Linked DNA regions of Stegostoma tigrinum. The protein of the gene in region 1 interacts with the protein of each later gene in a pairwise test. Links are inferred from orthologs where the notes say so. Each region holds a gene or a part of one and is shown on either strand. Other genes may lie near its edges.

The links.
Region 2: the proteins of disc1 (region 1) and immt interact in binary tests that used the Homo sapiens proteins (3 or more experiments, as listed by UniProt). The link is inferred for Stegostoma tigrinum from reciprocal best matches to the Homo sapiens genes DISC1 and IMMT.
Region 3: the proteins of disc1 (region 1) and cdk5rap3 interact in a two-hybrid assay, tested with the Homo sapiens proteins (2 studies listed by BioGRID and IntAct). The link is inferred for Stegostoma tigrinum from reciprocal best matches to the Homo sapiens genes DISC1 and CDK5RAP3.
Region 4: the proteins of disc1 (region 1) and KAT8 regulatory NSL complex subunit 1-like interact in a two-hybrid assay, tested with the Homo sapiens proteins (2 studies listed by BioGRID and IntAct). The link is inferred for Stegostoma tigrinum from reciprocal best matches to the Homo sapiens genes DISC1 and KANSL1.

What each region holds. Positions count from the first base shown.
Region 1 is NC_081357.1:97,266,792-97,274,860, reverse strand, and holds the start of disc1 (disrupted in schizophrenia 1 protein), read right to left. Parts: upstream 3,336-8,069; 5' UTR 3,087-3,335; coding exon 2,981-3,086; intron 1-2,980. UniProt on the Homo sapiens protein: Involved in the regulation of multiple aspects of embryonic and adult neurogenesis. Required for neural progenitor proliferation in the ventrical/subventrical zone during embryonic brain development and in the adult dentate gyrus of the hippocampus.
Region 2 is NC_081354.1:168,485,624-168,493,806, reverse strand, and holds the start of immt (MICOS complex subunit MIC60), read left to right. Parts: upstream 1-4,978; 5' UTR 4,979-5,170; coding exon 5,171-5,209; intron 5,210-8,183. UniProt on the Homo sapiens protein: Component of the MICOS complex, a large protein complex of the mitochondrial inner membrane that plays crucial roles in the maintenance of crista junctions, inner membrane architecture, and formation of contact sites to the outer membrane.
Region 3 is NC_081384.1:3,047,855-3,055,361, reverse strand, and holds the start of cdk5rap3 (CDK5 regulatory subunit-associated protein 3), read right to left. Parts: upstream 3,260-7,507; 5' UTR 3,176-3,259; coding exon 3,170-3,175; intron 2,220-3,169; coding exon 2,174-2,219; intron 185-2,173; coding exon 53-184; intron 1-52. UniProt on the Homo sapiens protein: Substrate adapter of E3 ligase complexes mediating ufmylation, the covalent attachment of the ubiquitin-like modifier UFM1 to substrate proteins, and which is involved in various processes, such as ribosome recycling and reticulophagy (also called ER-phagy).
Region 4 is NC_081384.1:40,720,959-40,728,737, forward strand, and holds the start of KAT8 regulatory NSL complex subunit 1-like, read right to left. Parts: upstream 3,265-7,779; 5' UTR 2,830-3,264; exon of another isoform or gene 2,801-2,829; intron 1-2,800. UniProt on the Homo sapiens protein: Non-catalytic component of the NSL histone acetyltransferase complex, a multiprotein complex that mediates histone H4 acetylation at 'Lys-5'- and 'Lys-8' (H4K5ac and H4K8ac) at transcription start sites and promotes transcription initiation.

The DNA.
Region 1 (8,069 bases):
ACAGTTGAGTATTGTGTTTAATTATGGTTGCTACATTTCAGAGAAGATGTGGAGGTTTTGAAAGGGTGCAGATGAGGTTTACCAGGATGCTGCATGGATTAGAGGATATCAACTATATGGAGAGGATAGAAAAACTTGGTTGTTTTTCTGGAGTGGCAGAGGCTAATGGGAGACTTGATTGAAGTTTATAAAATTACAAGATGCATAGACAGGGTTGACAGTCAGAATCTTTTTCGCAGTGTCAAAATGCCTAACACTAGGGGGCATGCATTTAAGGCGGTTGCGGGGGGAGGGGGGGGGGAGTTCAAAGGAGATGTGAGGGACATAGAGTAGTAGGAGACTTGAATTTGTCACCAGGGATGGTGGTAGAGGCAGATACAATGGGGCATATAAGAGACTTTTAGATAAGCACATGAATATTCAAGGAATGGAGGGATACGGACCAAAGGCAGGCAGAAGGAATTAATTTAATTTGGTGTCATGTTTGGCACATCGTGGGCCGAAGAGGCCGTTGCTGTGCTGTACAGTTCTATGTTCTAATACCTTTACCAATTTAAAGTACATCATGATGAAAACATTTGTTAAACTAATATTAATCCCAGCTATCTAAAATTTCCATAATGGGTTTACTCTGGAGTGCACAATTTACATCCCTAATATTAATTCAAAACAAATAGATGAGTGCCTTAAACTCTTGGTATGGTTGTAATTTTATTCTTGAACTACAATGCATAATTTAGCGTCCATTGGCTATTCATTCTAAAGAAGCCTGATAAGTAGACAATATTTTGAAGAATGTTTTCCAATTTGGTACTTTCAGCTTAAGAGAAAACCAGCTCCTTTTACTGGCCCAAACACTGAAATCTATTTTGCATCCTGATATGTGATAGTCATTTATTACAAATACATTTTTAAAAATAAGTATTTTGTATACTTATGTGGGTGTTCACGTTATATTATGCTTTGATGAACTTTGATTAACTTCATTAATAAGAAAGGGTTCCATCCAGTCAATGTCAAACTCACCTGTGATCACTGCAAAAACATTCTGGAAGTCTGAGGCTGCTGCCCTGGAAACTGCCATGATGCCAATATCTTTGACAATTCTCAGGTTCCTGCTTCATTCCAAAGACCAATTGCTTTATTAAGAGCCAACAATTACCCTTTGCCATCATGGCTGATGACTCCATTTCGTAACCTCTGACTCAGACTGAAGCTAAATACAATGCAGCCCATTCTTCCTTTGGGAGACATTAGGCTTCCTCAGATGAAATTTCCATGCACGAAAACATTTGGGGATTTCTTGCAATACTCTGATAATGGATTGCACCACATAATCCTTGCACGTTGTACTCTGGACAACTGACCCAAGCAAAATGGGGATGGGTAATTAAGGAGCTGTGAGAGCAGCAACATTCTGCTGATGAGAAAGAAGAGGACGTTGAGCAAAAGGAACATCAACCTCGCCACAACAGAGTGAGGCAGCGTTGAGCTCAAAACAAAACACCTATTAGACACCCACTTCCAAAGGAATAGAGTTGGTTGAAGTCATTGGCTGTAAGTGCTTAGATGCTGGAAATTCAATTAGCCCCTATATATTCTCAAAAGCAAAAGTAGCTTTTGGCTTGTTCCTTATTCGCCTTTCCTGTTGTACAAGTTACCTTTCAGAGCTGTTGGAAGGCTTCACAATATCTGACACTTCGGCATTTAAAATGACAGCTACCAAGGGGAAGCATGTGAATGAAAAGTAGGAAGTAGCCTAAAAAGCAGGCCTAAGTTTGAATCAAACCAAGATTCAGTTCCTAAAGCTACTTCTATTATCAGAGATGCCTTTCAGTTTAGCTCCAGTAATTTACTGGAGAAAGTAATCAAAGTTGGCAGCTGTTTCAAGAATGGGAATTTGTCAGTACTGCCTCATGCTAAAATAAAAGTTGACAGTGGACTTTCAAATATAAAGAGCAGCAGCATGGAGAGGACTGAAAAGACAAGGGTTTCAAGAAGCAAATTTTTATGTGACCTTCAGTAGTTACCACGGTCAGCTTTCTGCATAGCAATTCATACAAATCTAGAATGGGAGCATTCAGTGAAAGGCAAACTTCTAGAAAGTGCAATTTCAGTTATCAAGTTACTTACTGTACAAGTTAGTTTGGAAATCAGATCATACAGCAGGTGCAGAGGATATGTTATCTCATATCAGTAAAACATCATCACAGGTAGTTTACTTATAATAGTGAATATGAAATTGTGCTATCTATGCTCTTATTTCAGGCAGTATTTTTGGAATTGTTGCAATATTATCTATTTAGAATAGCTCACTTTGACAAAGGTTTGGTACAGAATATCATGGTATATATAATTACCGTACGATTAAATGTGGTTTTCCCTTCACTACAAAAATATTAAAAGTGAAAATAAATATTTGCAAAGTTGTTACCAACCGTATACAGTACATGCAAAGTTAAGGAATTATTATTTAAAATAAAAGAAATAAGCAATATGTGACAAATGTAAACTGTAAAGATCAATCATAACAGCAAAATTTTGAAATAAAACTCCACGTAAATGCGTGCTTACATTAATAAAGAAAATATTTTTCTTAAAATGTGCTATCTATGCCACAAGGTCTTTGGTAAAGTGCTGAATAAATTCTCCCAGCTCCCCGATGGAGCGGAACTGTAAAGGGCAGAAGATCCCAGATTCATGCCCTAGTCGTTATCTTAACTAAGCTGATGAGAAAGATTTTGCAATTAATCGGCGTCCATAGGGCAGGGTTCGGCGAATCAGTAGTTATCATGTCTAACGTAAAGGGGAGGCGGGTCCAAATACAACTCAATAACAGGACTCCGGTACTGAACCCAATCTCAGATGGATATAGGGTGTGGTTAGAGGGGGAAAAAGAGCCCTGGATACATACGCAGGATGTCAGCAATTTGTTTTATAAAACCGCGCAGCGAAACCCGTTCCGTATTACGAGTCATACCTCTTTTCTGCGGGTTTTGCCCCCGAGGCCCAGGATCACTGCTAGAAACTGATCTCGGCCGATCCGCGAAAGATTCGCGTATTACATCCATTCCATCGAACATCATCAGCCAGACCGGCCGAGGCGCGAGCTAACGGCCCCCACTGAATAACCCCCGTCCCGCGCGCTTTGCTTCCGTTCGCGCCACTTTGACAGTTCCTCCAGCCGTTGTTGTCCGTTCGGTTTGATTATCGTGCGACCCTCACCCAACTGCTCGTCTCCAATGGTGGTCGAAACCCCGCGCGCGCGGATCCGTGCACGACAAATTGAGGGAGACAACGACACCGAGTCCTCTCAGTTCGTTATGCCAAAGGGTCAGTCTCTTGCAGAGATTTGAGGAAGTGAGCGAATCAGTCCTTTTCTTTTACACAAACGCAGTGGCGACTTTGTTATTACAGCTTCACAAAACCTTCGATTTTGAAGGTTCTGTTTGGACGAATTTTGAGGGTTTAGTGCTCTGTTTTTGAGTGGCCCAACTGCGTCAAAAGCATTATGATTACATGCTTTATATTTGTAATAAATCTCACTTTTACTTTTGACCTGTTTACTGATGTAACATTCTGGAATTGGATACCCTTCAGTGGAGAAACGATATATTGGATGAGTTGTGGTCTGGAATGAATGTATTACCTGAAAGGATGGTGGAAAAGACTAATACGGAACGGGTTTCGCTGCGCGGTTTTATAAAGATCTCTAAATGGGAATAGAATAAATAGCGAGGACAAATTTAAAAGGCTTTGAATAAAGAATAAGGGAGTGGAACCAATTAGATAGTTATTTCCAAAACACGTTGTTGTATAAGTTTATGTTTCTTAAGAGTTCTTCTTTTAAATCTAAAGGAGCTTTTACGCTTCACTGAAAGGTTTCTATTTCGGGTTTTTCGAGTTTTTTCGGAATTGTTCTGAAGGTGGGTCACAGTACTTGTTTTCTCTTCTAGATGTTCCCACATCTGCTGTGTTTCTCCAACAATTTGTGTTCTAGTTTGTTTGTTATCTTCTACCACTAATCTTTACATAAACCCAAGACAGGATTACAGGCAGTGAACTACTGCAAACAATCCTTAACTGGTACTATATACTAGTTGGTGTCAAAATTCACCCAGTTACCATAAGTGGTTACCTTGGAAAATCCTATATGGCTGCAGTGGTGTCACAAAGAAAAAATATCCAGAAGAAAATTTTAAAAATTCAAGTGAGTTTTTGCCACTTTAACAGCCAGCATTTGCACTTTGAAAGTAAATCTCTCTCCTGAACCCTCTCCAGTTTGATAATATCCTCTGTACAAGAGGGCAGCAAGAACTGGATACAGTACTCCAGAAGTGGCCTCAGCAATGTACTGTACAACTTCAATGTAACTCCTACACTCAAAGACCTGAGCAATGAAGTCTAGAATGCTAAATGCCTTCTTAACCATATATGTGATGCAAACTTCAAAGAATAATGTACCTGAAGCCCTAGGCCTCTCTGTTTCACAACACTACCGAAGGCCTTACTTTTAATTGTGTAAGTCCTGCCCTTGTTTGTTTTACCAAAATGTAAAACCTCACAGTTATCCAAATTAAACTCCATCTGCCACTCTTTGGCCCATTGATTCAATTGATCGAGATCACTTTATAATCTTGGATAACCTTCTTCACTGTGCATTACAGCACCATTTCTGGTGTCATCCATAAACTTTCTAACCATGTCTTCTATATTTTCATCTAAATCATTTATATAAATGACAAACAAAAGTGGACCCAGCACCGAATCTAGCAGAATACTGCTGGCCACAAGCCTACAGTCCAGAAAACAACTCTCCATTATCACATTTGTCACACACTGTCACTCCTGAAAAACTCAATTTAATTTGTGGGGTGCAATTTCACTGAAAACCATGCTTACTATGCCTAATCATTACTTACTTCAAATGCATATAAATCCTATTCTTCAGAATCACCTCCAACAACTTACCCACCACCAAAGTCATACTCACAGGATTATAGTTCCCAGGCTTCCCCTTACATCCCTTTTTAAATAAAGACACAAAATTAGCCACTTTCAGTCATCTGGCATCTCACCCACAGTAATAGATGATACAAATATTTATGCAAGGGGCCCCACAACATCCTAGGATAGACTAGATCAGGTCCTGGCGATTTATCCACCTTTATATTTTCTAAGACATCCAGCACTTCCTATTCTGTAATGTGAACTGTTTTCAAAATATCAATATTTATTTTCCAGAGTTCTCTAACTTCCATTTTTCTCCACAGTAAAAACAGATGCAAAATATTTATTTACTATCTCTCACATCTCCTGAGGTTCAACACAAAGATAACCATGTTGATCTTTAAAGGGCCTTACTCTCTCTCTCTAGTTGCTCTTCTGCTGTTAATGGCTTGTAGAATCTTTTTGGATTATCCTTAACTTTATTTGCCAAAGCTATCACATATCCTGTCTTTGCCTTCCTAAATATCCCTCTTAAGAATGTCCCTACATACTTTATACTGTTCAAGAGAGTCATTTGAACCCAGTTTCTATATCTAATATATGATACTTGTTTATTCTTGACTAGGACCTCAACATCTTTCTTCATCCATTGTTCCCTAATCCCATTAGTTTTACCTTTCACTCTAACAGGAACATAATAGCTGTGACCTCTCGTTACCACATGTTTGAATACCTCACAATTATCAGATATCCCCTTACTTGTAAACAGTCTACTCCAGTAAACTTTTGAAAATTCTTGTCTCATATCTTTAAAATTGGCCTTTCTTCAATTAAATCTTTAATTTTTATGGAAGGTTTGTCCTTTTCCATAACTATTTTAAAACAAATAAATTATGATCACTTGACGCAAAGTATTCCCATACTATCATTTCAGTCACTTGTCTGTCTTATTATCCAAGAGAAGGTCAAGTTTTGCTCCTTCATATTGATAAAGAAAATTTTCTTGAACATATTTAACATTCTAAACTATCCAAACCTTTAATACAGTGGTAGTCCTAATCAATGTTTGAAAAATTGAAATCTCATTATTATAACTATTATTCTTAGATACATCTGAAATGTCTCTACATATTTGTTCCTTAATTTTCCTGGCTGCTGGAGGTCTATATTACAATCCCATCAAGGTGATTGTTCCTTTTTCATTTCTAATTTCAATCCATATATTTTCACTGAATGATATTTCAGAAATATTTTTTCTAGTTACAGCAGTAATGTTTTCCTTAATCAAAAATGCCACTCCCCCTCCTCTTACGTCTCTTTCCCTTCCTGTAGCACCTAAAACTTAGAACATTGAGCTGCAAGTCCTGTCCGTCCTTCAGCCAAGTTTCTGTCATAGCTATGGTGTCCCAATCTCATGTTGAAAGCATGCCCCAAGTTCATTAGCCTTACCTATAGGACCCCTTCCATTGAAATAATTCTTCAGTTACTTCATTCTCTGACTTGCTTTTGTCTGTCTTTTCCAATTGTTCTTTTCAGATTCAAAACCATCTTCATTTATCTTTCTATTTACCCTGCTATTTAGGATGCCTCACCCCCATCCCCCAAACCCTCTCCCTCCCCAAATAGTTTACAGTTTCTCTTAATAGAATTAGCAAATCTTCCCTGTAAGATATCAGTCCCTTTCCATTGCAGGTGAAACCCATCCTTTTTGAACAGGTCTTTTCTGCCTTCGGAGAGATCCCAATGATCTGAGAATCTGAATCCCTGAACATTACATCACCTCTTCAGCCGTTGATTTATCTCCTTCATCATTTTATTCTTTCCCTCATTTGAGTCTAGCAGCGGGAGTAAACCAGAGATTACTACTTTTGAGGTTCTGTTTTGTAATCTTCTATCTAAACCCTTATTCACCCTGTAAAGCCCTGATCTTTTCCCTAACCTTGTCATTCCTACCAATGTGTACAATAACTTCTGGTTTCTCACTTATCCTTTTAACAACATGCTTCAAACATTTTAAAACATCCTTAATCGTGGCACCAAGAAAGCAACATTATATCATAGATTAATGTTCATTGCTGCAGGATCTCCTGTCTGTGCCCTTTATAGGAAAGTCATCTCTAACAATTATTCTTTCAAATTTTGTCAAAGCCAGCCTAACATAAGATTGATTCTTAGTGCCCATGATCTGGCTGCGTCTTCTACTTTTCGTCTAAGAGACTATCCTTTTCAACAGCATCCAAAGCTGAGCATTTGTTTGAGAGAGAAATAACCATGGGAGACTTCTGAACTTCTGAAATTTCTTGACAGTCATCCATCTATCTAACTGATCCTGCTGTGGAATCTCTAAATCTATTAACCACCTAACACTGTGTCTCTTGTATGCCCTCAATGGCATTAAGCGTAAAAAGTAGCAGCTTACAATAGTGCCTTATATATGAAATATACCACCTTTCCATATGTAAAGAATTAATGTTAAGCATGCAAAAAATAAGGAATAAGAAAAACATATAAATCTTAAATAAAATAAATCAGTTAGCTGAACAATTAAATTAAGAAATGAGTCTTCCAGAGGTCCAGCAGACAGACTTCAATCTTCTGATTAAAAGATCTCACTTTACGCATGTAGGCCTCTCCAAAAGCTCCATAAACACTACTACATTTAAAAAGAACTGTCCTCCATGATTTGAAAAAAATCTCTTCAGCAATGTTAAAAAACACTCTCCTCTTAGGCATATAATTTTAGAGAAAAATGAGCCATCCACATGTCTCTCCAAAAGGCCTGTTAACACAACTCTGAAAAAATGTGCTTTTTTTTTGTTTTTGCGTTTTTGACTGTAAAAGAACCAAAAATAAATCAAACTAAAAATCTTATAATACTGAAATGTAGTAAATGTAAAAAATCTAAAAGTAAGCTATGCATAGGCCTTTCCAAAAATTCCGTTACAGAACTCCGTTTGAAAAAAAAGTGCACTTTTTAAAACGTTTTTGTTTATAAAAGAATCAAAATAGAAATCATATACAATTAAAATGTAATAACTGTAAGAAATCTAGAAGTCAGCCTGCAATCTCAGGAGCAGCTGCAAGAGCCATGGTCTTCTCAGTCCACCATTTTAGACAGG
Region 2 (8,183 bases), on another chromosome or scaffold:
TAACATCTGCCGTCCAGTCCAGGCAGCATCCTAATAAATCTCTTCTGCACCCTCTCAAAAGCTTCCACTTCCATTCTATAATGACGCGATCAGAACTGAACACAATATTCCAAGTGTGGTCTAACCAGAGTTTTATAGAGCTGCAGCGTAACCTCGTGGCTCTTAAACTCAATTCCCCCGCCAGTGAAAGCCAAGAAAGTACACCTTCTTAACAACCCTATCAACTTGGTAGCAACTTTGAGAGATCTATGGATGTGGACCCCAAGATCCCTCTGTTCCTCCACACTGCCAAGAATCCTGCCATTAACCCATTATTCTGCATTCAATTTTGAACTTCCAAATGAATCACTTCACACTTTTCCAGGTTGAATTCCATCAGCCACTTGTTTGTCCAGCTCTGCATCCTGTCAATGTCCCGTTGTAACCTACAACAGCCCTCCACATTGTCCACAACTCCACCGACCTTTGTGTCATCAGCAAACCTGCTAAGCCACCCCTCCACTTCCTCATCCAAGGGTCATTCATAAAGATCACAAAGAGCAGAGGTCCCAGAACAGGTCCCTTTGGAACACCAGTAGCACCAAGCTCCAGGCTGAATACTTTCCATCTACTACCACCCTCTGTCTTCTATTGGACAGCCAATTTTGTATCCAGACAGCCAGATTTCCCTGGATCTCGTGCCTCCTTACTTTCCGTATGAGCCTATCATGGGGAAGCTTATCCAATGCCTTGCTAAAATCTATATACACCACATCCACTATTTGATCTTCATCAATGTGTTATGTCACATCCTCAAAGAATTCCATAAGGCTTGTGAGGCATGACCTGCCCCTCACAAAGCCATGCTGACTATTTCTAATCAAAACTGTGCTTTTCCAAATGATCATAAATTCTATCTCTCAGAATCCTCTCCAATAATTTGCCCATCACAGAAGTAGGACTGACTCATCCGTAATTCCCAGGATTATCTCTATTCCCTTTCTTGAACAAGGGAATAACATTTGCCACCCTCCAATCATCTGGTAGTACTCCAGTAGACAGTGAGGACGAAAAGATCATTGCCAAAAGCACAGCAATCTCTTCCCTCGCTTCCCATATCAACCTTTGGTATGTACCATCAGGCCCAGGGGACTTATCTATCCTCATATTTTTCAAAATTTCTAGCACATCCTCCTTCCTAACATCAACCTGTCCAAGCATATCAGCTTATTTCGTGCTGGCATCACAAACTACAAGGTCCCTCTCACTGGTGAATACTGAAGCAAAATATTCATTAAGGACCTCCCCTACCTCCTCTGACTCCATGCACAAGTTCCCTCCACTGTCCCTTTGGCCATCCTCTTGTTCCTCACATAAGTATAGAATGCCTTGGGGTTTTCCTTAATCCTATCCACAAAAGCTTTTTCATACCCTGTTCTAGCTGTCCTAAGTCCATTCTTCAGTTCCTTCCTGGCTACCTTGTAAACCTCTAGAGCCCTGTCTGATCCTTGATTTCTCAACGTTAAGTAAGCTTCTTTCTTCTTCTTGACTAGATGTTCCACATGTCTTGCCCTCCTTTCCTTGCCTCAGTGGGACAAACCTCTCCAGTACCTGTAGCAACTGCTCCCTAAACAACCTCCACATTTCTGTTGTGTATTTCCCTGAGAACATCTGTTCCCAATTTATGCTCCACAGTTCTTGCCTAATAGCATTGTAATTCCCCTTCTCCCAATTAAATACTTTCCCATACCGTCTGCTCCTGTCCCTCTCCATGACTATAGTAAAGGTCAGGGAGTTGTGATCACTATCACTGAAATGCTCTTCCACCGAGAGATTTGACACCTAGCTTGGTTTGTTGCCAAGCAATAAATCCAAAATAGCCTCCCCTCTAGTTGGCCTATCTACATATGGAGTCAGAAATCCTTCCTGGACACACCTGACAAAGTCTGCTCCATCTAAACCATTTGCACTTGGAGGTTCCAGTTGATATTAGGGAAGTTGAAGTCACCCATGACAACATCCCTCTTACTTCTGCACCTTTCCAAAATCTGCCTCTCAATCTGTTCCTCAGTGTCTCTGTTGCTATTGGGGTGTCTATCGAAAACTCCCAATAAAGTGACTGCTTCTTTCCTGTTTCTGATTTTCACCCATACTGACTCAGTAGACAAACCCTCTTCGATGATCTCCCTTTCTGCAGCTGTGATACCATACTTGATTAGCAATGCCACACCCCAACCTCTTTTATCTCCATCCCTATTTCTTTTGCAACATCTAAACCCCGGAACATCCAACAGCCATTCCTGCCCTTGTGTTATCCATGTATCTGTAATGGCCACAACATCGTACCTCCAATGACAGGTATTGATGGAGGTGATCATGAGAATATCTTCCACATAGCAGACATGTCTAATACAGGAGGCACATGTTTATGGCAAGAAGTAAACAGCTTAGGAGAGATCTGAGAATTTTTTTCACCCAGAGGATGCTAGAAATATGGAACATGCTGCCTCAGAGGATGGTGGCACACAACATTTAAGAAGCATCGGGGTGAGTTCTTAAATGCCAGGGCATAGTAGGAACTGAGTGCAAGTAAATGGGATTAGTGTAGTTTGAGTTTTGATGTTTAGTATAGCCAGGTTGGACTGAAGGGCCTGTATGTATGACAAATCACTTTATAGGCAATGAATAATTGAAAATAGGTTGCTTTCAGCACAGCCAACATATTTCAAGACAGGACCTGGGGTTTGAAAATAGGTAATAGACAAGAAAGGGGGTGTTCAGGTTCCAAAACTGTTCAACTTGATGTAGGGTGCCTTAGCAGAGCTGAGGTGTTATTCCTCAAGTGTTGAGCTTTGCTGGAGCACTGCCACAGGCCTGATACAGAAATGTTGGTATGGGAACATGGTGGTGTATTAAAGTGGCAGGCAATTGGAAGCTCCTGGTCATTTTTGTGTTTTGTTGTGAAGGTGGGGGAGACAATAGTGTAGTGGTATAATCACCAAACTATTAATCCAGAGACACAAGTAATGTTCAGGGACCTGGGTTCACACCTTATCACAGCAAATTGTGGAATTGAATTCAATAAAAAGCAAAACTGGCATTAAGATTTTAATGATGGCTATGAAACCATTGTTACTTGACAGGAAAAACTCATCTAGATGCCCTTAAAGGAAGGAAACTGTTGTCCTTGATAATAAAATGTGAGGCTGGATGAACACAGCAGGCCAAGCAGCATCCTGAGATGCTGCTTGGCCTGCTGTGTTCATCCAGCCTCACATTTTATTATCTTGGAATTCTCCAGCATCTGCAGTTCCCATTATCTCTGAAACTGTTGTCCTTATCTGCTTAAATATGACTCCTGACCCAGAACAATGTGATGCCCTCTTAACTGCCCTCTGGTCTAGCGTGCTCTTATAAGCTGCTTTGTGGGCCTTTTTTGGTCTTTATATTTGTCCAATTCTGTGGAATCTGTACTTTCTATGTGTTTTTATAAGCCCCTTTTAATTTTATGTTGCTCCTTACCTCCTTAACTGTCCATGGTTGTGTTTTTTTTAATGAGGTGTAGCTTTTCCTTTATACGCATATAAATTGCTTCTGAATTGCAGTAAATGTTTCTTTGAATGCCTTCCTCTGTTCTTTGGCTGTTTTACGTAGTAACAGAACTTCCCACTTCACTGTGGATAGTCTCTGCCACATCCCTTTAAAATCTATCTTATGTAAATCCAAAATTCTAGTATCCAATCTTTGCTTATCTCTTACAAACACTACATGAAACTCAAATGTGTTATGATCACTATTTGGCAAATGCTCACGAACAACCAGGCCACTAATTAAATGAGACTCATTTCTTGTTACTAGATTCAATATTGTTTGTTCCATTGTTGCATCCAAGACATATTGACATAGGATACTATCTCAAAACTATCTCGAAATTCACAACCTTTCTGGCAGGTGCTTGTCTGTCTCTCCCAGTCTATCTTGATCAAAGTCCCACACTAATACTACTCTGCCTTTGCTACATAGTTGCCAAATTTGAATATTTATACAATCTAGCACTTCTGAGCTGCTATCAAGTGATCTATATATGACACCTATTGTAGCTTTAGTTCCTTTAGGGTTCCTCAGTTCTTTTCATTTTTTTGTTCTATATTCATCTATGGGATGTTGGGTTCACTGGTGGGCTAGCATTTACTGACCATCCCTAGTTGCCTTTGAGGAGGTGGTCAGAAGCAACCCATACTGATCTTACCAGCATCCAGCCCTTATCCATTAGTCTGAGCATCATTTATTTTATTTCCCTGGATGTGAGAAGCAAGGGTGAAGCGGAATTTATCAAAACTTACTAAGCACACGTGGATAAGTGCTGGAATAATCTTAAAAGGGGTAGGGAAAAATTGTCAGAGCATTGGGATTGAATGGATATGGCTCTTCGAGTGAGGTGGCATTGGAATGCATGCCAAAGGGACAGATTTAGTACAGAATCTGAAAAATTAAGTACCACAGAGGGCTATTACGACTGGGTTATTAAATGTATTCGTGGCTGAGATAAATTTTCATCAGCAACGGAATCAAGGGTTATGAGGATAAAGCAGGAAAGTGGAATTGAGGATTATCTGATCAGCAGAGAAACTTGATGAGCTCAAAGGCCTACTTCTTCTGGGTCTTATGGCTTTATTTCTGTGCTATAAAATTATCCCTAGGGGTTTTCGTGGAGGTAGATAGCATCCCAGAGTGCACTGTATGAGGGGAGGGTAAGTGGATGATGATTCTCAATGGGCAAATCACTCGTCAGATTGAAGGGTTAGAGAGAGAAAGATATACATCTTCCTTGAGAAAGTGTAACTTGAACTCGGGCTTACTCGCTCCGAGGTCGAGATACTAGCACTGCACCACAAGAGCCCTGAAAGAGAAAGTGCCTTCAGCAGCTATCAAGGTTGGTTGTGCACGACGCCAAGACCAAGTTAGACAGAGCAGCGGGGGCGGGCGCGTGCGCGTTGGTGTGGCGCAGCCTCGATCGTACGGAAAGCGGTCAACACGGTCACTCCCGCCTCACAGCGAGGGAGTAAGGTGTTGGGCTGCACATTAGTCTCTAATTGTCTATGTTTTTTGTAAAAAAAAATGTTCTGATCCGGTACAGCGGAGTACTTTTCTTCATCGAAGAACATAAAACCATCGAAGAGTTTAAGGGAAAATGTTGAGGGCTTCATGGAAAGTAGCTCCGCCGCTGAAGGTAGGAAAGACCGGGCGAGACGGACCGATTCTGACATTAAACAGGCCTGACAGAAGATATTTCCTTTTGTTGCTGTCTCTAGAGTGGCCTTGCCTAGGTTCACCGCTTCCGTTCGACGGTGAACCATTGACCACAGAGAGAAACGGGCTGGTTTTGGGGTGTGGGGAGAGGAGCTAGAATCAGGCCGTTAGTTCAACCTACCTCAGTTGTCCGGGTGAGGTGGCGATTGACGTGAGTTTGCACCAATCGGCAGAGGAGTTACAGACTACCGGCCAATCAGCAATGAAAAGGCGGGTGGTGGCCCGGGGAGAAATCAAGCTCGGTTGAGCAACCATGACACGAGTGGGAAATGCAGGTTTCTTGATGGGGAAAAAAGAGGAAAAGCCAGACTTTATTTATCGCTTAAATTAAAGACGCATTTGCTGTCGTACGTCTTTTATTCTCTTCCCACCCCCTTAATCTGGTGACGAAGAGGAACGCGAGACTCTTAAATGTTATCTGATTTTTACAGAGAAAACGACGTGACCTTGTCCATGAATATAGTAACGTCTTGTATAGTGACCAGGAAAAAGCATGAGCCCATTTTGTTTTAAGACTTTTCAGTTCCTGATTTCCCATGTACTGCAATATATTAGTTTAATATGTGAAATCACGGATCTCAGAATGCCAAAGCATTCTTCAAAGAGTTTGGAAATCTACTGAATATATTTCAGAGTAATGGTATTTTCTTTGAAAGCTATTTCTTTTGTGAATTGAAGACTGAGACCTACATTGAAAATATTATGTGTAGGACAAGTCAAATCAGCACATGGCTTCGGTAAAGCTTTTGTTTAAAGGTATTTACATTGTTTCCCTCCTTCCACAATGTTTAGCCTTATCACTGTTGTTCTTAATGTAATTCTCTTATGTGCAGCAGAGAAAAAATGATAATAATGTACCATCAGTGTAACATTAGTCTAATTGTGAAGTTGACTTTTGCCTAATGGGCCAGAGTAAATTGAATATGCCTGGTGATCGATGGGATTTTCAATAAGGGCTGTTGTGGTGTGGTGGTAGTGCCTCTACTTCTGGGCCAGAAAGTTTGAGTTCAAGTAGTACTTGGCACAGCATTGTGTCATAACATGTCCAACAATGTTGATTAAAACAATAGTCATAAATGGTCTACATAAGTAACCATGTAAGTAATGTTCCTAAAGTAAAATACTGCAAATGCAATTGGCCTGAAAACGGCAAAGGCTGGGAAAACGCAACAGGTCTGTGGAGGTACGGTTAAGTTTTCAGGATGTGAGGAACAAACTATCACTTCAAGTTTAATTTATATTTTGTATTTTTTGATAGGAAGTTTTAGTTTCATTGTGAGGGTTTTGTGGGCTTTGTACCTGGAAATTTGGCAGCCTTTTTCTATACATCCATTTGTGATGTGGTTTTACAATCTTTACAGTGAACAGATGGGGGATTGGTTGTTCAATGCATTTGTTTTAAAAAAAAGACAAAAATTGTCCTCCAGCAATAAGGTTTCAGGTTGTGGTAGAAATTGGAAACAGGAATATTAAATACTCTAGTAAGCAATCCTGCAGCACTGCTGACAACTGAGTTTACAGAAACTCCAATTTCTGTAGATAGTATTTAGTTTACAATTTATTTAGGTGTTTCGGTAGGGATACTATCTGCAGAAAAGCATCAACAGAATGCCCTGGAATTTACCAGAAGGAAACAGGTTGCAGTTGTGCCAGTTTGCACAAGCAGTCAAGCATGGAGATGGTGGTGAATCTTTGAGATTTGCCATTGCTGGAATAAAAAGAATATTGTAAATGCAGAGTAATTTTGATGTTACTGAAACTTTTGTGGAATGTTATTTAGTGTTGTATGGTTTGTTACTCCCTTGTTAAATGTACACTTGTGAAAGTGTTCAGTGCTGGACCTCCACTTTCTAAACAAAAAGAACAAAGTTAGGATCTCAAGCTACATTTTCCTCTGGAATCTGACTTTTTAACATGTTAACATTGCAGGATCATAACAGGGTTGACTTTTCTTCAGAAATGAGAAGAAATAGACTTGAGTTTTTAAGCTGATAATGTTTCATACTTTGCAGTTGGTGCCATGTACATTGCATGGTTTGGATTTGTAATTTGAATCTGCAATACAAAATGATCACACTTACTTTGTATAGTTCTTAGTTCTATCAAGTGGATGTAGATATTTTTCAGAGCATTAATTAATTACAACATTAGTTGTTTGTACCATCTGTCTTTGTCTGTCTTCCGTAATTACGACTGTGCCTGGGTGTCCTTGGAGGAGGAGCATGCGGTGTTGGCTGACACATTTGAAGCTTTGTGCAACCTGTGAAAGTCTGTGAGATTCTTAGAAGACGTGACAACATAGATACTGCAAGGTTGTTTCCCATTTTGCAAGAGTCTACAACCGGAGGGCAAAATTTCAGTGAAGGATCACCCATTTAATAAAAATGCGGAGGAATTTCTGATGGGCGTTGTGAATCCGGTATTGTGGTTGGCTGGCTTGCCGAGCTGGTTCGTTGTTCCAAAGATGTTTCATTACCCTGCTGGGTAACACCATCAGTGCAGCCCCCGATGAAGCGCCTGGTGTGTTTGTCCCACTTGGTTTTTAAACTCTGGAGTCGGTTGAGCTGGATTGCCTCACTTTCGGTTTGCTTTCGTAGTGGAGTGTATATGGGGTCGAGTTCTGTGTGTTTATTGATGGCTTTCTTCGTGGAGTACCAGGCTTCCAGGAATTCCCCTGCCTGTCTCTGCTTAGCTTGTCCCAGGATTTTGGTGTTGTCCCAGTCAAATTGGTGGTTCTCCTTATCCATGTGGATAGAGATGACTGGGTATTAGTCGTGTCTTTTTGTAGCCAGTTGGTGTTCGTGTATCGATGTTAGTTTCCTTCGTGTTAGTTCGATGTAGTGCTTCTCACAGTTTCTGCAGGGAATCTTATGGATGGCATTGGTCCTATCCAT
Region 3 (7,507 bases), on another chromosome or scaffold:
ATTTACACACACACAGACTACTGGGATGACACGTGGCAGAAATGGCACTGACATGATCCTGACAGGAGCTGTTTGATTTCCTCATTCTCCGGCATATCCTGGATTGCATTGTTGATTTTCTCCCGAATTACCAACACCGCATTCTGCCATTTCAGCTTGCAATGCCGTCTATCCACCAACCAATCTAAGGAAGGCAAGAAACAAAATACTTGTAAAGTACACTCGCCAGACATTCAGGAAACATTATTTCAGAAATTTCAATATTCCCTTTCACTTGTTGTGCACATTGATATACTCATTTGCCTTCTGGACTGGGCTACACATGGTTCCATGATGAGATACCCTACAAAACCCAGGCTAACAGTCCTGTTTAACATTGAGGGTGTGTGTCATTATCAGTGTCAAAGACGCCCTCTTTTGTATGAGGCTTCAGCCTGAAATCGCATTGAAATAATGCACCTGAGAGGACAAAGAAAAGCAGCAATGTTTTCCCTGCAGGCCTGGCCAATATTTAAACCTCAGTCAATGCTGCTAAAATGCAGATGTTGTTTGTGGGAGCTTGCTACGGAATAATTGGCTGCTGTGTTTCCTGTATCATCCCAGTGACTACACTTCAAAACATACTTCACTGGCTGTAATGCAATTATACAATGTCCTGAGGTTATGAAAGGTGCTATGTATGTGCATTCCAAACTGTACAGGATGCTCCTTTGAACTGACTATAGGGCTTCAGCAATGTGCAGGTTGGGATTGACCTTCATCCAGTCCCACATCAACCCCACCAACGTTATCCTAACCTTCATTCAAAACCCACAGTGAAAGCTGACAGTAATCAGGGAGCAGGGAAGGTAAAATCACTGGGTCGGTGCATTAGGCAGTAGCTCATTCCAACGACATTTAAAAACTGAAACATAATACCTATCACATATACTTTTAAAACATGATCATGTTATTGCCAACCTTTTAGGATTTTTCAAAAGAACTGTTCTATCAGGATTACTGACATTTAAACTCATTGCAAAGCCCTGTCCCAGGAATTCTAAACATTAAAAATTGAACATCGCAGCAAACTGAGATCAGAGATAATGGGAACTGCAGATGCTGGAGATTCCGAGATAACAAAAGTGAGGTGCTGAATGAACACAGTAGGCCAAGCAGCATCTTAGGAGCACAAAAGCTGACATTTCAGGCCTAGACCCTTCATCAGAAAAATGAAGAAGGGTCTAGGTCCGAAACATCAGCTTTTGTGCTCCTAAGATGCTGCTTGGCCTGCTGTGTTCATCCAGCTCCACACTTTGTTATCGCAGTAAACTGACTGTATTATACTAGGGATAGTAGGAATTGCTGACGCTGGAGTCTGGGATAACAAGGTGCGGAGCTGGAGGAACGCAGCAGGCCAGACAGCACCAAAGAAGCAGGAAAGCTGATTTCAGGTCTGGGCCCTTCTTCAGACAAATGTACCAGCTCTTCCTTCCTATTCACTGCTGCATTCCAATCCTGCACCTCACCGCAGAGAGACTGTCAACTTTTCGGGGAACACCTTTCCCACAGGGGGAAACGTGAGAGCCAAATTGTGCATGGCAAATACACCAAAGGAATGTCGGTGCTGCATTTTGTGGTAGCTGAGACACTGAAGAAATAGCCTTCCATTTTTTTCCTCTCTCTCACACACTTCTGTAAACCCAAAATCTTGCTTGAACCCTGAAGACCTTCAGACCTTGAGACAAGATGCAACTTCAGATTCAGGACAGCTGGTGCCTCAGGAAGAGTATCCTCAGCTGACTCTGGGCAATTGCTACACACAGTTCAAAACATTCTCTGAAGTTTCAGACTACTTGACTACGGCTTGCATTAAGACTCATATCCACTTGGCTTCTAAAGTTCAAATCAGCAGCAAAGTGTATTCAAGTAAATTTAAGATCAGTCATAAGAGACCCGGGAAGAATGAGGAGAATTTTAATTTTGAATAACTTGTGATCTGGAATACACTGTCTGCAAGGCTGATACAATAATAACTTCCAAATAGAACTGAATACATGAATGTTTGCAGAAATGTGGAAAATTGCAGGGGCTGAAGCTAATTTCAGAGAGCTAGCACGCACACACGTTGGGTCAAATCGTCTCCTGTGCTGTATAGCTCATTGGAAAATGATTCACCACTACAGACAATTACCCAAGAGCTTGCTGGTCTGTATATCGATTGGCCATCTCCTTTGGTCCTGTAAGGAAAATATTTCAAACATTGAATGAAAATTTGAACAATGTGGGTCTATAGTTGGCAGCAAGGAGAGACGAAAGGGGATGGGATAAAGGGGAAAGGAAAGGGAGGTGGGGATAGAGGCAAAAGGGGGATTGAACAGACAGGGAATGGGGGGGAGGGGTGGTGGGGAGGGGTGGTGGGGAGGGGGGAGGGGGGGAGAGAGGGGAGGGGGGTGGGGGGGAGAGGGGAGGGGAGGGGAGGGGAGGGGGGTGGGGTGGAGAGGGGAGGGGTGGAGGGGGGGTGGTGGGGAGAGGGGGGAGGGGGGAGAGGGGTGGGGGGGAGGGGAGGGGGGGGAGAGGGGAGGGGGGAGAGAGAGGGGAGGGGGGTGGGGGGGAAGAGGGGGAGGGGGGGAGAGGGAGGGGAGGGGGGGAGAGGGAGGGGAGGGGGGTGGGGGGGAGAGGGGAGGGGAGGGGAGGGGGGTGGGGTGGAGAGGGGAGGGGTGGAGGGGGGGTGGTGGGGAGAGGGGGGAGAGGGGTGGGGGGGAGGGGAGGGGGGGGAGAGGGGAGGGGGGGGAGAGAGAGGGGAGGGGGGTGGGGGGGAGAGGGGAGGGGTGGAGGGGGGGTGGTGGGGAGAGGGGGGAGGGGGGAGAGGGGTGGGGGGGAGGGGAGGGGGGGGAGAGGGGAGGGGGGAGAGAGGGGGGTGGGGGGGAAGAGGGGGAGGGGGGGAGAGGGAGGGGAGGGGGGGAGAGGGAGGGGAGGGGGGAGGGGGGGGAGAGGGGGGGGGGGAGAGGGGGGGGTGGGGGAAAGAGGGGAGTCGGGGGGGGAGGGAGGGACACTGACAGAGTGGGATCTGTAAGACGGGTCGAGGACTGAGGTGCAGGGAGGGGGCGGTGCGCGAGGTAACAGACTGGGAAGGGGAGTGGGGGGTAGAGGGTGAGGGTTGGTTAGTCTGCCCCCGCCCCTCACTCACCTCCATCCCGCTCGGGCCCTACCCCCTCACCAAACCTGCAGCGGCACCCAATCAAAACGCGGGCTGGAACGGGCCAATCGCATGTCATCCGAAGTACCAACCAATCAGATGTGGCCTTGTTGCACAATGTGGACCATTCAGATATGAGGAGGTCGGCCGCGTTGTGCATTATCGGACCAATCCGAAGTCGTACATTCACGAAGAGCCAATTATATGCCAGATAGGTTGTAATGTCCAATCACAGAGGGCGCAATCAACATTAAATGGTGGAAAGCGCATAAGCTTAACCAATGGTTAACGTTTGCGTAGCTGGACCAATCCCGGGAGAGAATGATTTTATTTTTTGTTTGTCGTGCGGTCGGTCGCACGGAGAGTGGGATGGGCGGGTAGTTAAACCAAACAGGTTGGAGGTTGTAGTGATAACAAAGTGTGAAGCTGGATGAACACAGCAGCATCTCAGGAGCACAAAAGCTGACGTTTCGGGCCTAGACCCTTCATGAGAGAGGGGGATGGGGAGAGGGAACTGGAATAAATAGGGAGAGAGGGGGAGGCGGACCGAAGATGGAGAGTAAAGAAGATAGGTGGAGAGAGTATAGGTGGGGAGGTAGGGAGGGGATAGGTCAGTCCAGGGAAGACGGACAGGTCAAGGAGGTGGGATGAGGTTAGTAGGTAGCTGGGGGTGCGGCTTGGGGTGGGAGGAAGGGATGGGTGAGAGGAAGAACCGGTTAGGGAGGCAGAGACAGGCTGGACTGGTTTTGGGATGCAGTGGGTGGGGGGGAAGAGCTGGGCTGGTTGTGTGGGGCAGTGGGGGGAGGGGATGAACTGGACTGGTTTAGGGATGCAGTGGGGGAAGGGGAGATTTTGAAACTGGTGAAGTCCACATTGATACCATATGGCTGCAGGGTTCCCAGGCGGAATATGAGTTGCTGTTCCTGCAACCTTCGGGTGGCATCATTGTGGCAGTGCAGGAGGCCCATGATGGACATGTCATCAAGAGAATGGGAGGGGGAGTGGAAATGGTTTGTGACTGGGAGGTGCAGTTGTTTGTTGCGAACTGAGCGGAGGTGTTCTGCAAAGCGGTCCCCAAGCCTCCGCTTGGTTTCCCCAATGTAGAGAAAGCCGCACCGGGTACAGTGGATGCAGTATATCACATTGGCAGATGTGCAGGTGAACCTCTGCTTAATGTGGAATGTCATCTTGGGGCCTGGTATAGGGGTGAGGGAGGAGGTGTGGGGGCAAGTGTAGCATTTCCTGCGGTTGCAGGGGAAGGTGCCGGCTGTGGTGGGGTTGGATGGGAGTGTGGAGCGAACAAGGGAGTCACGGAGAGAGTGGTCTCTCCGGAAAGCAGACAGGGGAGGGGATGGAAAAATGTCTTGGGTGGTGGGGTCGGATTGTAGATGGCGGAAGTGTTGGAGGATGATGCGTTGTATCTGGAGGTTGGTAGGGTGGTGTGTGAGAACGAGGGGGATCGTCTTTGGGCGGTTGTGGCGGGGGCGGGGTGTGAGGGATGTGTTGCGGGAAATGCGGGAGACGCGGTCAAGGGCGTTCTCGATCACTGTGGGGGGAAAGTTGCGGTCCTTGAAGAACTTGGACATCTGGGATTTGCGGCAGTGGAATGTCTTATCGTGGGAGCAGATGCGGCGGAGGCGGAGGAATTGTGAATAGGGGATGGAATTTTTGCAGGAGGGTGGGTGGGAGGAGGTGTATTCTAGGTAGCTGTGGGAGTCGGTGGGCTTGAAATGGACATCAGTTACGAGCTGGTTGCCTGAGATGGAGACTGAGAGGTCCAGGAAGGTGAGGGATGTGCTGGAGATGGCCCAGGTGAACTGAAGGTTGGGGTGGAAGGTGTTGGTGAAGTGGATGAACTGTTCGAGCTCCTCTGGGGAGCAAGAGGCGGCGCCGATACAGTCATCAATGTACCGGAGGAAGAGGTGGGGTTTGGGGCCTGTGTAGGTGCGGAAGAGGGACTGTTCCACGTAACCTACAAAGAGGCAGGAATAGCTGGGGCCCATGCGGGTACCCATGGCCACCCCCTTAGTCTGTAGGAAGTGGGAGGAGTCAAAAGAGAAGTTGTTGAGGGTGAGGACGAGTTCGACTAGGCGGATGAGGGTGTCGGTGGAGGGGGACTGGTCGGGCCTGCGGGACAGGAAGAAGCGGAGGGCCTTGAGGCTGTCTGCATGTGGCATACAGGTGTATAGGGACTGGACGTCCATGGTGAAAATGAGCTGTTGGGGGCCAGGGAATTGGAAGTCCTGGAGGTGGTGGAGGGCATGGGTGGTGTCACAGACGTAGGTAGGGAGTACCTGGACCAAAGGGGAGAAAATGGAGTCCAGATAGGTGGAGATGAGTTCGGTGGGGCAGGAACAGGCTGAGAACAATGGGCTGACCAGGGCAGGCAGGTTTGTGGATTTTGGAAGGAGATAGAAAGGGGCCGTGCGGGTTTGGGGAACAATGAGGTTGGAGGCTGTGGGTGGGAGGTCCTCTGAGGTGATGAGGAATGGTGTTGGAGATGATGGTTTGGTGCTTGGGGGTGGGGTCATGATCAAGGGGACGGTAGGAGGTGGTGTCGGAGAGTTGGCGTTTGGCCTCGGCGATGTAGAGGTCAGTGCGCCATACTACCACTGCACCTCCCTTGTCAGCAGGTTTGATGATGAGGTTGGGGTTGGAGCGGAGGGGCTGCCCATTCTGCGGGGGAGAGGTTGGAGTGGGTGAGATGGGTGGAGAGGTTGAGGCGGTTGATGTCTCGATGGCAGTCGGAGATGAAGAGGTCGAGGGAGCGTAGGAGGCCTGGGAGTGGTGTCCAGGAGGAGGACTTGTGTTGGAAGCGGGTGAAGGGGTCAGTGGAAGGAGGGTTGGGTTCCCAGTTGAAGAAGTAGGCATGGAGGTGAAGACGGCGGAAAAACTGCTCTATGTCCGACCGTGACTGGTATTCGTTGATGTGTGGTTGTAGGGGGACGTGTGGTTGATGTGTGTTCTGTGGGCTAAAGGGCCTGTTCTGTGCTGTACTGTTCTATGTTCTATGTTCTAAATCCAATATTGATCTTGCTTTTGTACAGCCACATTCCTGTGTGCCTCACTCTGTCAAAACATCTTACAATCTGTTTCTCCTTGTTTGTTATGATCTACCTGTACTGCATGCAAAACAAAGCTTTTCATTGTAGTTAGGTACATGTGACAACAATAAATCAAATCAAATCAAAGATTAAACTATATAAAGAATTAGGTGGGGACCATTCCTGTAACCTGAATGATCAGACAGCCTTTTACAAATATCCCTCCATTGATGACCCAATTAAATATTTGCAACAGTGATAATGGGAACTGCAGATGCTGGAGACTCCAATAAAATGTGAGGCTGGATGAACACAGCAGGCCAAGCAGCATCTCAGGAGCACAAAAGCTGACGTTTCGGGCCTAGACCCTTCATCAGAGAGGGGGATGGGGAGAGGGAACTGGAATAAATAGGGAGAGAGGGGGAGGCAGACCGAAGATGGAGACAAAAGAAGATAGGTGGAGAGGGTGTAGGTGGGGAGGTAGGGAGGGGATAGGTCAGTCCAGGGAAGACGGACAGGTCAAGGAGGTGAGATGAGGTTAGTAGGTAGATGGGGGTGCGGCTTGGGATGGAAGGAAGGGATGGGTGAGAGGAAGAACAGGTTAGGGAGGCAGAGACAGGTTGGACTGGTTTCGGGATGCAGTGGGTGGAGGGGAAGAGATGGGCTGGTTGTGTGGTGCAGTGGGGGGAGGGGACGAACTGGGCTGGTTTAGGGATGCGGTGGGGGAAGGGGAGATTTTGAAACTGGTGAAGTCCACATTGATACCATTAGGCTGCAGGGTTCCCAGGGGAATATGAGTTGCTGTTCCTGCAGCCTTCGGGTGGCATCATTGTGGCACTGCAGGAGGCCCATGATGGACATGTCATCTAGAGAATGGGAGGGGGAGTGGAAATGGTTTGTGACTGGGAGGTGCAGTTGTTTGTTGCGAACTGAGCGGAGGTGTTCTGCAAAGCGGTCCCCAAGCCTCCGCTTGGGTTCCCCAATGTAGAGGAAGCCACACCGGGTACAGTGGATGCAGTATACAACATTGGCAGATGTGCAGGTGAGCCTCTGCTTAATGTGGAAAGTCATCTTGGGGTCTGGGATGGGGGTGAGGGAGGAGGTCTTGGGGCAAGTGTAGCATTTCCTGCGGTTGCAGGGGAAGGTGCCAGGTGTGGTGGGGTTGGAGGGGAGTGTGGAGCGAACAAGGGAGTCACGGAGAGAGTGGTCTCTCCGGAAGGCAGACAGGGGTGGGGATGGAAAAATGTCTTGGGTGGTGGGGTCGGATTGTAGATGGCGGAAGTGT
Region 4 (7,779 bases), on another chromosome or scaffold:
ACTGCCCTGGTCAACCCATTGTCTCCACCTGCTCCTGACCCACCGAACTTATCTCTACGTATCTCAACTCCATTTTCTCCTCCTTGGTCCAGCAACTCCCCACCTACGTCAGTGACACCACCCACGCCCTCCACCTCCTCCAAAACTTCCAACTGCTTGGTACCCAACACCTCATCTTTACCATGGACATCCAGTCCCTATACACCTGCATTCCCTATCCAGATGGCCTAAAGGCCCTCCTCTTCTTCCTGTCCTGCAGGCCCGACCAGTCCCACTCTACTGACAGCCTCATCTGCTTAGGTGAACTCATCCTCACCCTTAACAACTTCTCTTTCAATTCCTCCCACTTCCTACAGACTAAGGGGGTGGCCATGGATTCCCACATGGGCCCAAGCTATGCCTGCCTCTTTGTAGGTTATGAGGAACAACCCCTCTTCCGTAGCTATACTGGCCCTAAACCCCATCTCTTCCTCCATTACATCAATGACTATATCGGCGCCGCCTCGTGCTCCCACGAGGAGTTCGAACAGTTCATCCATTTCACCAAAACCTTCCACCCCAACCTTACATTCATCTGGACCATCTCTGATACCTCTCTCTCCTTTCTGGGCCTTTTTGTTTCCATCTCTGGCAATCACCTGGAAACTGATACCCATTTCAAGCCCACTGACTCGCACAGCTACCTAAAATACACCTCCTCCCACCCATCTCCCTGCAAAAATGCCATCCCCTATTCCCAATTCCTTCGCCTCTGCTGCATCTGCTCCCAGGAATGAGACATTCCACTCTCGAATATCTCAGATGTCCTCGTTTTATAAGGACCACAACTTCACCTCCTCAGTGGTCAAGAACGCCCTTGACCGTGTCTCCCACATTTCCCACAACTCATCCCTCACACCCCATCCTCGCAATAACAACTAAAAAAAGAATTCCCCTCGTCCTCACGTACCACCCAACCCACGCATCATCCTCCAACGCTTCCGCCATCTGTAATCCGACCCCACCACCAAAGACATTTTCCCTCCCCACGCTTATCTGCTTTCTGGAGGGACCACTCTCTCCGTGACTCCTTATCCACTCCACACTCCCCTCCAGCCCCATCACACCCGGCACTTTTCCCTGCAACTGCAGGAAGTGCTGCACCTGCCCCTACACGTCGCCCCTCAGCCCCATCCCAGGCCCGAGAAGACCTTCCACATCAAGCAGATGTTCACCTGCACATCTGCTAATGTGGTATGCTGTATCTGCTGTGCCTGATGTGGCCTCCTCTACATTGGGAAAACCAAACGGAGGCTTGGGAACTGCTTTGCGGGACATCTACACTCAGTTTGCACTCACCAACTGCACCTCCCAGTCATGATCCAATTCAACTCACCCTCCCAATCTTTTGACGACATGTCCTTCCTGGACCTCCTGCAGTGCCACAATGATGCCACCCGAAGTTTGCAGGAACAGCACCTCATATTTTGCTTGGGAACCCTGTAGCCCAGAGATATCAATGTGGACTTCATAAGCTTCAAAATCTCCACTCTCCCTACTGCATCCCAAAACCAGCCCAGCTTGTCCCTGCCTTCCTATCCTGTCCTTCCACCCACCTATGCCCTCTTCCCACCTCAAGACCCATACCCATCTCCTACCTACTAACCTCATCCACCCCTTGACCTGTCCGTCCTCCCTGGGCTGACCTATCCCCTCTCTAACTCCCCACCGACACTCACCTTTACTGGCTCCAACCCTGCCTCTTTGACTTGTCTGTCTCCTCTCCACCTATTTTCTCCTCTATCCATCTTCTATCTGCCTCTCCCTCTCTCCCTATTTATTTCAGAACCCCCTTTCCTGCCCCATTTCTGAAGAAGTGTTTAGGCCCGAAATGTCAGCCTTCCTGCTCCTCTGATGCTGCTTGGCCTGCTGTATTCATCCAGCTCCACAGCTTGTTATCTCTCTCTCCATCATCTACTAGGCATCTACAAGGCACAAATCGGGAATGTAATGGATTATCCCCACTTGCTTGGATGAGTGGAGCTCCAACAACAGCCATGAAGGTAACACCATCCAGGACAAAATAACCCACTTGAATGACACCGCATTCACAAACATCCATTCCCCACACCACCAACTGTGCATATTATCTACAACATTTACTACAGAAATTCACCAAATATCCTCCAATAGCACCTTCCAAACCCAATAACACTATCATCTAGAAGGGCAAAGGCAGCATAGTTGGGATCACCACCACTTGCATATTCCCCTCCAAGCCATTCACTATCCTGACTTGGAACTATATTGTCATTCCTTCAATGTCACTGGATTAAAATCCCTAAAGTTCCATCCCTTATGGCATTATATGAGTACATAAAGCAAATAGTTTGTGATAGTGCAAGAAGGCAACTCAACACCAACTTTCAAGGGCAGGTATAGCTGGGTAATAAGTGCTGGTTGGTGACAGCCAAATTCTATTAATTAAAAAGAATGAAAAATCTCCTATCTACTATAAAACACGTTAATCTAATTTCTTATCGACAAATGTTCATTCATCCCTGATATCAATGCAATTAGTTTCAGATCTGAAGATTCCAGTTTGAGACCCAAGCATGTCTGAATTTTACGTCAACTTTGAGACTCTCATTTTATGGTCCTCATCCCCACAAGAATGTTTACTGAGAGGGTCACAGATTTGCACCCACCCTGCTCCACACATACCCAAACTCAACATCTGATATTCAACAACAGTGATCCCAAACACCAGTGCCATTCGGTCACCATCACACGCTTTCAGCCATCCCGATCTTCCACTCACCTCTCCCTATCCTTGATCCTCAACCCTACCTCATTCATCATCGTGGAAGGACACATTTCTCCATCACCACATCTTCGTTTGGTCGTCTCTCTCCTCTCTATAACGTCCACACCCGTTTTCCCAAGCCTCATCCACACACATTGATTCCCCTCAGCCCCCGCCGCCGGATCGGTGAAGATCGAATGGGTGAGGAGAGGGCGAGCGCCGGCCTCACAAACTCTTGAGCTCCGAGGATGCTCCAGCACCGACAACCTCCTAAGCCGGTCCCCTGTCCCAGCTCTCATCCTGTCCCCAGTGACAGCACCAGCCGAGAGCTGGGGGAGGAACCCGATCACAGAAATGCAGCCGAGGAAAGAAAGGGTGAAGGTCTGCGGTAGGAGTCGGGGCCCAAAGTGAGGCCAAGACAAGGCCAAACTGCCTCTACGGCCCGGGGCGCGCTTCCGAAGATCGAGGGCTTTCCGGAGGAGAAGGGCCTCTCCAAGGGGGCGGGGCTACATGTCCAGGAGGCGGGGCTACACAGCTAGGGTCGGACCCACAAGCCCAGGGGCGGGGCTACATGCCCGGGGCGAGACAGGATGACGTTGTTTGGGGCGGGGCTACACTGCCAGGGGCGTAGTCACAAGATCAGGGGCGGGGCTACAAGTATAATGGGGTGCTGCATGCTCAGAGGCGAGGCTACGTGGTCAAGGGCATTCGCAACGACACCGGGGCGGAACAACTTGCCCAAGGGCGAGGCCAAAAGCTCTAGGGCGGAGCTACATGTGCAGGGGCGGACCTATGGTGATATGGGTAGGGTTGCGGGCCCAGGGACTTTCTCCAGCCTCTGCTGTTCCCATTATTTTTTATCACTGAGCACTAAGAGACTGTTTCCGAAGAAGGGTCCCGACCAGAAAGGTCAACTTTCCTGCTCCTGTGATGCTGCCTGGCCCGCTGTGATTCACCAGCTCTACACCTTGTTACCACCGTCTCCAGAATCTGCAATTCTTGCTATCTCAACCAAGAGAATGTTCTTGTCTCTATCCAAGAGTGATGATGACCTTTTGTGAGTGTTTTTGGAAAAGCGAGGCAAATTTCTCCTTTACACAAAAGATCTCGACAAACGTGATATTCGAGCAGGCACACAACTCTCATGATCACAACTGAAGGTTTAACTATAGAGCCCTGATGGTGAACCTTAAGCCGATAGTCGGTCTTCAAGTTTGTTCCTGATTTTTCTTTTAAACTTAAAGTTCGTTTTTCCTCTTCTATTCCCCTCTGAACTTTTTGTCTATTCTTTTTCTGTGCGTAGAATCAGTATAGGTTCAGGTTAAAAGAAAACAAGGGGAAAAGAAGCCACTGGGCGGAATGGTCTATAGGCAATCTAACAGTAGCGATACGTTTGCACTGAATAAATCCGGAAATAATAAGGGTAAGTAACAAACGCATTGTACCAACCTTTAGTGACTTTAGCCTTTGAGGTCAGTTTAATTTTTATGTAGATTGGGATAGTCAGATTAGCAGAGAAAGAATTCAGAGGGTACTTGGTACTATTCACCGTATCTATGCGCCCCACGCTTCTATGATCTCGACGAACTTACTCCTCAGCCTCCTACACTTCAGGGGGAAAAAAAAGTCCTAGCCTATCCAGCATCTTCCTCGGTAATCTAGTCTCGGTTTTACGTACGCATGTAGATCCTTCTCTCAAAATCCCTTACCCACCACTGACGTGAGGCTCACCAGTCTACAGTTCACTGGATTTTCCTTGCAGCCTTTGTAACTAGTTATTATAGTTACTGTTCAACTAGTAGCACGTTAACCAACCTTCAGTCTTCCAGCACCTCACCAATGGCTGTTGATGGTACAAAGATCTCTGCTATGGACTCTGCAATTTCTTCCCAAGTTTCTCACAATGTCCTGAGGGTGGCACGGTGGCTCAGTGGTTAGCACTGCAGCCTCACAGCACCAGGGACACAGATTCGATTCCAACCTCGGGTAACTGTCTGTTTGGAGTTTGCACATTCTCCCCGTGTCTGCGTGGGTTTCCTCCGGGTGCTCCGGTTTCCTCCCACAGTCCAAAGATGTGCAGGTTAGGTGGATTGGCCATGCCAAATTGCCCGTAGTGTTCAGAAGTGTGTGGGTCATAGGGGGATGGGTCTGGGTGGGATGCTTCAAGGGTCGGTGTGGACTTGTTGGGCCAAAGGGACTGTTTCCTCACTGTAGGGAATCTAATTTAACGTAATGTACTTGATGAGGTCCCAGGGATTTATTTACCTTTATACATTTTAAGATCTCCAGCATCTCCTCTTCTGTAATGCTGGACCTTTTTTCAAGACATCACTGTTTACATCCCCGAGTTCCCGAGCTTCCATATCTTTATCCACAGTAAATATGGCAGTGCAATATGTGGTGAGGATCTCATCCATTTCCCGTGTCTTTATGCATACACAGCCTGTTGAATTTTAGGGGGCCTTCTTCTCTGCTTTGTTACTTATTTGTATACTTATAGAATGTCTTTGCATTCTCCTTTACCCAATCTACAATGACGTCCCTTTTTGTCATTCTGATTTCCCTCTTAAATGTACTGCTACATAGTCTTCCACAGATTCACTTGGTGTCAGCTGACTATACCTGACATATGCCTCCTTCTTTTTCATGAGCAGAATCTTGATATCTCTAATCATCCAGTGTTCCCTATCCCTACCCCTACCAGCCTTGCCCTTCATACCAACAGGAACATGCTGGCTCTGAACTCTTGTTGTCTCACTTTTGAAAACCTCCCACCTGTCAGATAGCCCTTCACCTATGAACGGACCTCCCCGATCAACTTTTGAAAGTTCCTGTCTAATATATCAAAATTGACCTTGCCCCAATTTACAACTTTAATATGTGAATCAGGCCTATCCTTTTCTATAACAAAAATAAAACTAATAGAATTATGGTCACTGGTCTCAAAGTGTTTCCCTGTTAACATATCAGCCACTAGCCCTGCCTTATTTCCCAAAGGAGGCCAAGTTTTGCACCTTGTGTTGTATGGTCATCTACATATTGATTAAGTTTTCAAAATCTTCCCCATTCAAGCCCTTATCACTATATCAGTCAATGTTTGAAAAGTTAAAATCCCTCACTATTACAGCACTATTATTCTTACACCTGTCAGTGATCTCCCCACATATTTGCTCCTCAATTTCTGACTGTTGGGGGTGGGTGTGGTGGTTACAGTACAATCTCATTACAGTGATCTCCACCTTCTTATTTCTCAGTTCCACTCACATAACTTTCATTGGACAATCCCTCAGGAATATCCTGTCTAAGAAGTGTCATGATATTTTCCCTAAAAATGCCACTCCCCCTCTCTTATCTCCCTTTCTTTCTTTCCTACATTATCTGCAGCCCAGAACAGAGCTGCCAGTCTTGTCCCTCCCTCAGCCATGTGTCTGTCATAGTTACAATATCCAGACCCATGTGCCCATCTATGCCCTGAGATAACAAGGTGTAGAGTTGGATGAACACAGCCAGGCCAAACAGCATCAGAGGAGCAGGAAGGTTGACATTTCGGGTCTGCTTTCCCTGTCAGGTCTCTTGCATTGAAATAAATGCAGTTCCCTCATTCCCTGTCGTGCTCTTGTCTGCCTTATCTACTTAACTTGATCTCTTTAGCTTCTGTACCAGCCTCAACCATCTCTGTTCTCTCACTACTGCTTAGGGTCCCAACCCCTGCCGGCCTATTTTATGCCCTCCTGAATAGCTCTCGCAAATCTCCCACCAGCAAATTGGTCACCTTCCAATTATGGTGCAACCTGCCCCTCTTGTGTTAGTCATTCCTGTTTTGAAAGAGATCCAAATGATCCAAAAATCTGAATCTCTGCCCCCTGCCCTGTGTCCTCAGCCACACATTCATCTGCCCTATCCTCCTACTCCTACTCTCACAAGCACCTGGCACCAGGAATAATCCAGAGATTACTATTCTTGAGGCCCTGTTTTTTTAACCTCCTGCCTAACTCCTTATATTCACTCTGTAGGACCTCATCCCCTTTTGTGCTTATATCATTGATTCCAATGTATACAACAACCTCTCGCTACTCACACTTTCCTTTGAAAATTTCCAGGAATTGCTCTGGGATGTCTTTGACCCTGGCACAAAGGAGGCAACACACCATTCCTGGAATCTTGTTTGCAGCTACAGAAATGTCTATGCCCTTGACTATACAGTTCGCTATCATAATTCTTTGCCATACCCATCTTTACAGCAGATCCAGTTGTGGTGCCAAACACCAGGCTGCTGCTGCTATTTTGCCCCTGAGAGGCTATCCCCCCAACAGTATCCAACTTATTTGAGAGGTGCCACAGGAGACCCTTGCATTACTTGCCTACCTTTCCTGGTGGTCACCAATCTATATGACTAAACCTGCAGTGTGACCACCTCCTTGAAGCTACAATGAATTCACTATCTCAAACTCAGAAGCAGATCCTGAATTAAATAAATTATCACAGCCAATTCATCTTGAGGTAGATGCTGAAGGAGACCCAGAGTGCTATTTAAAGTGAGAATGAGGCAGTGGAGTCCCTCACAGACCTGCAGATGAAAAATGTGTCGTTGTTCATCAGGTAGAGATATCACTCAGCTATCATAGGGGGATTTTGAGTGGTACGTGAAATGCCCATGGCAGGACATATGGGGCTCTGAAAGCTATTCATAAACAGGTTTTCTTACCTGGTCAAATTTACATAGAGAGGTGCAGTTTTGTAAAACATGCCATTCTTGATGATTTGTCACTAAACTGCAACATGTAATGAGACCAGCTCCCCTGATTCCCACACTGGCTTTTGAGGAGACATTCATTTGTTTACTAGTAGATTGTGTAGGGCCATTATCCGAAACAAAAGCCCAAAATGAATATATCCTTACAATTTTCAACAAGACCATTCCCTGAAGGAATCATGTGAATTGGAGTGAATCAAATTGGTTGAAGACTAATATCTAAAATGCTGGGGACAGTCGG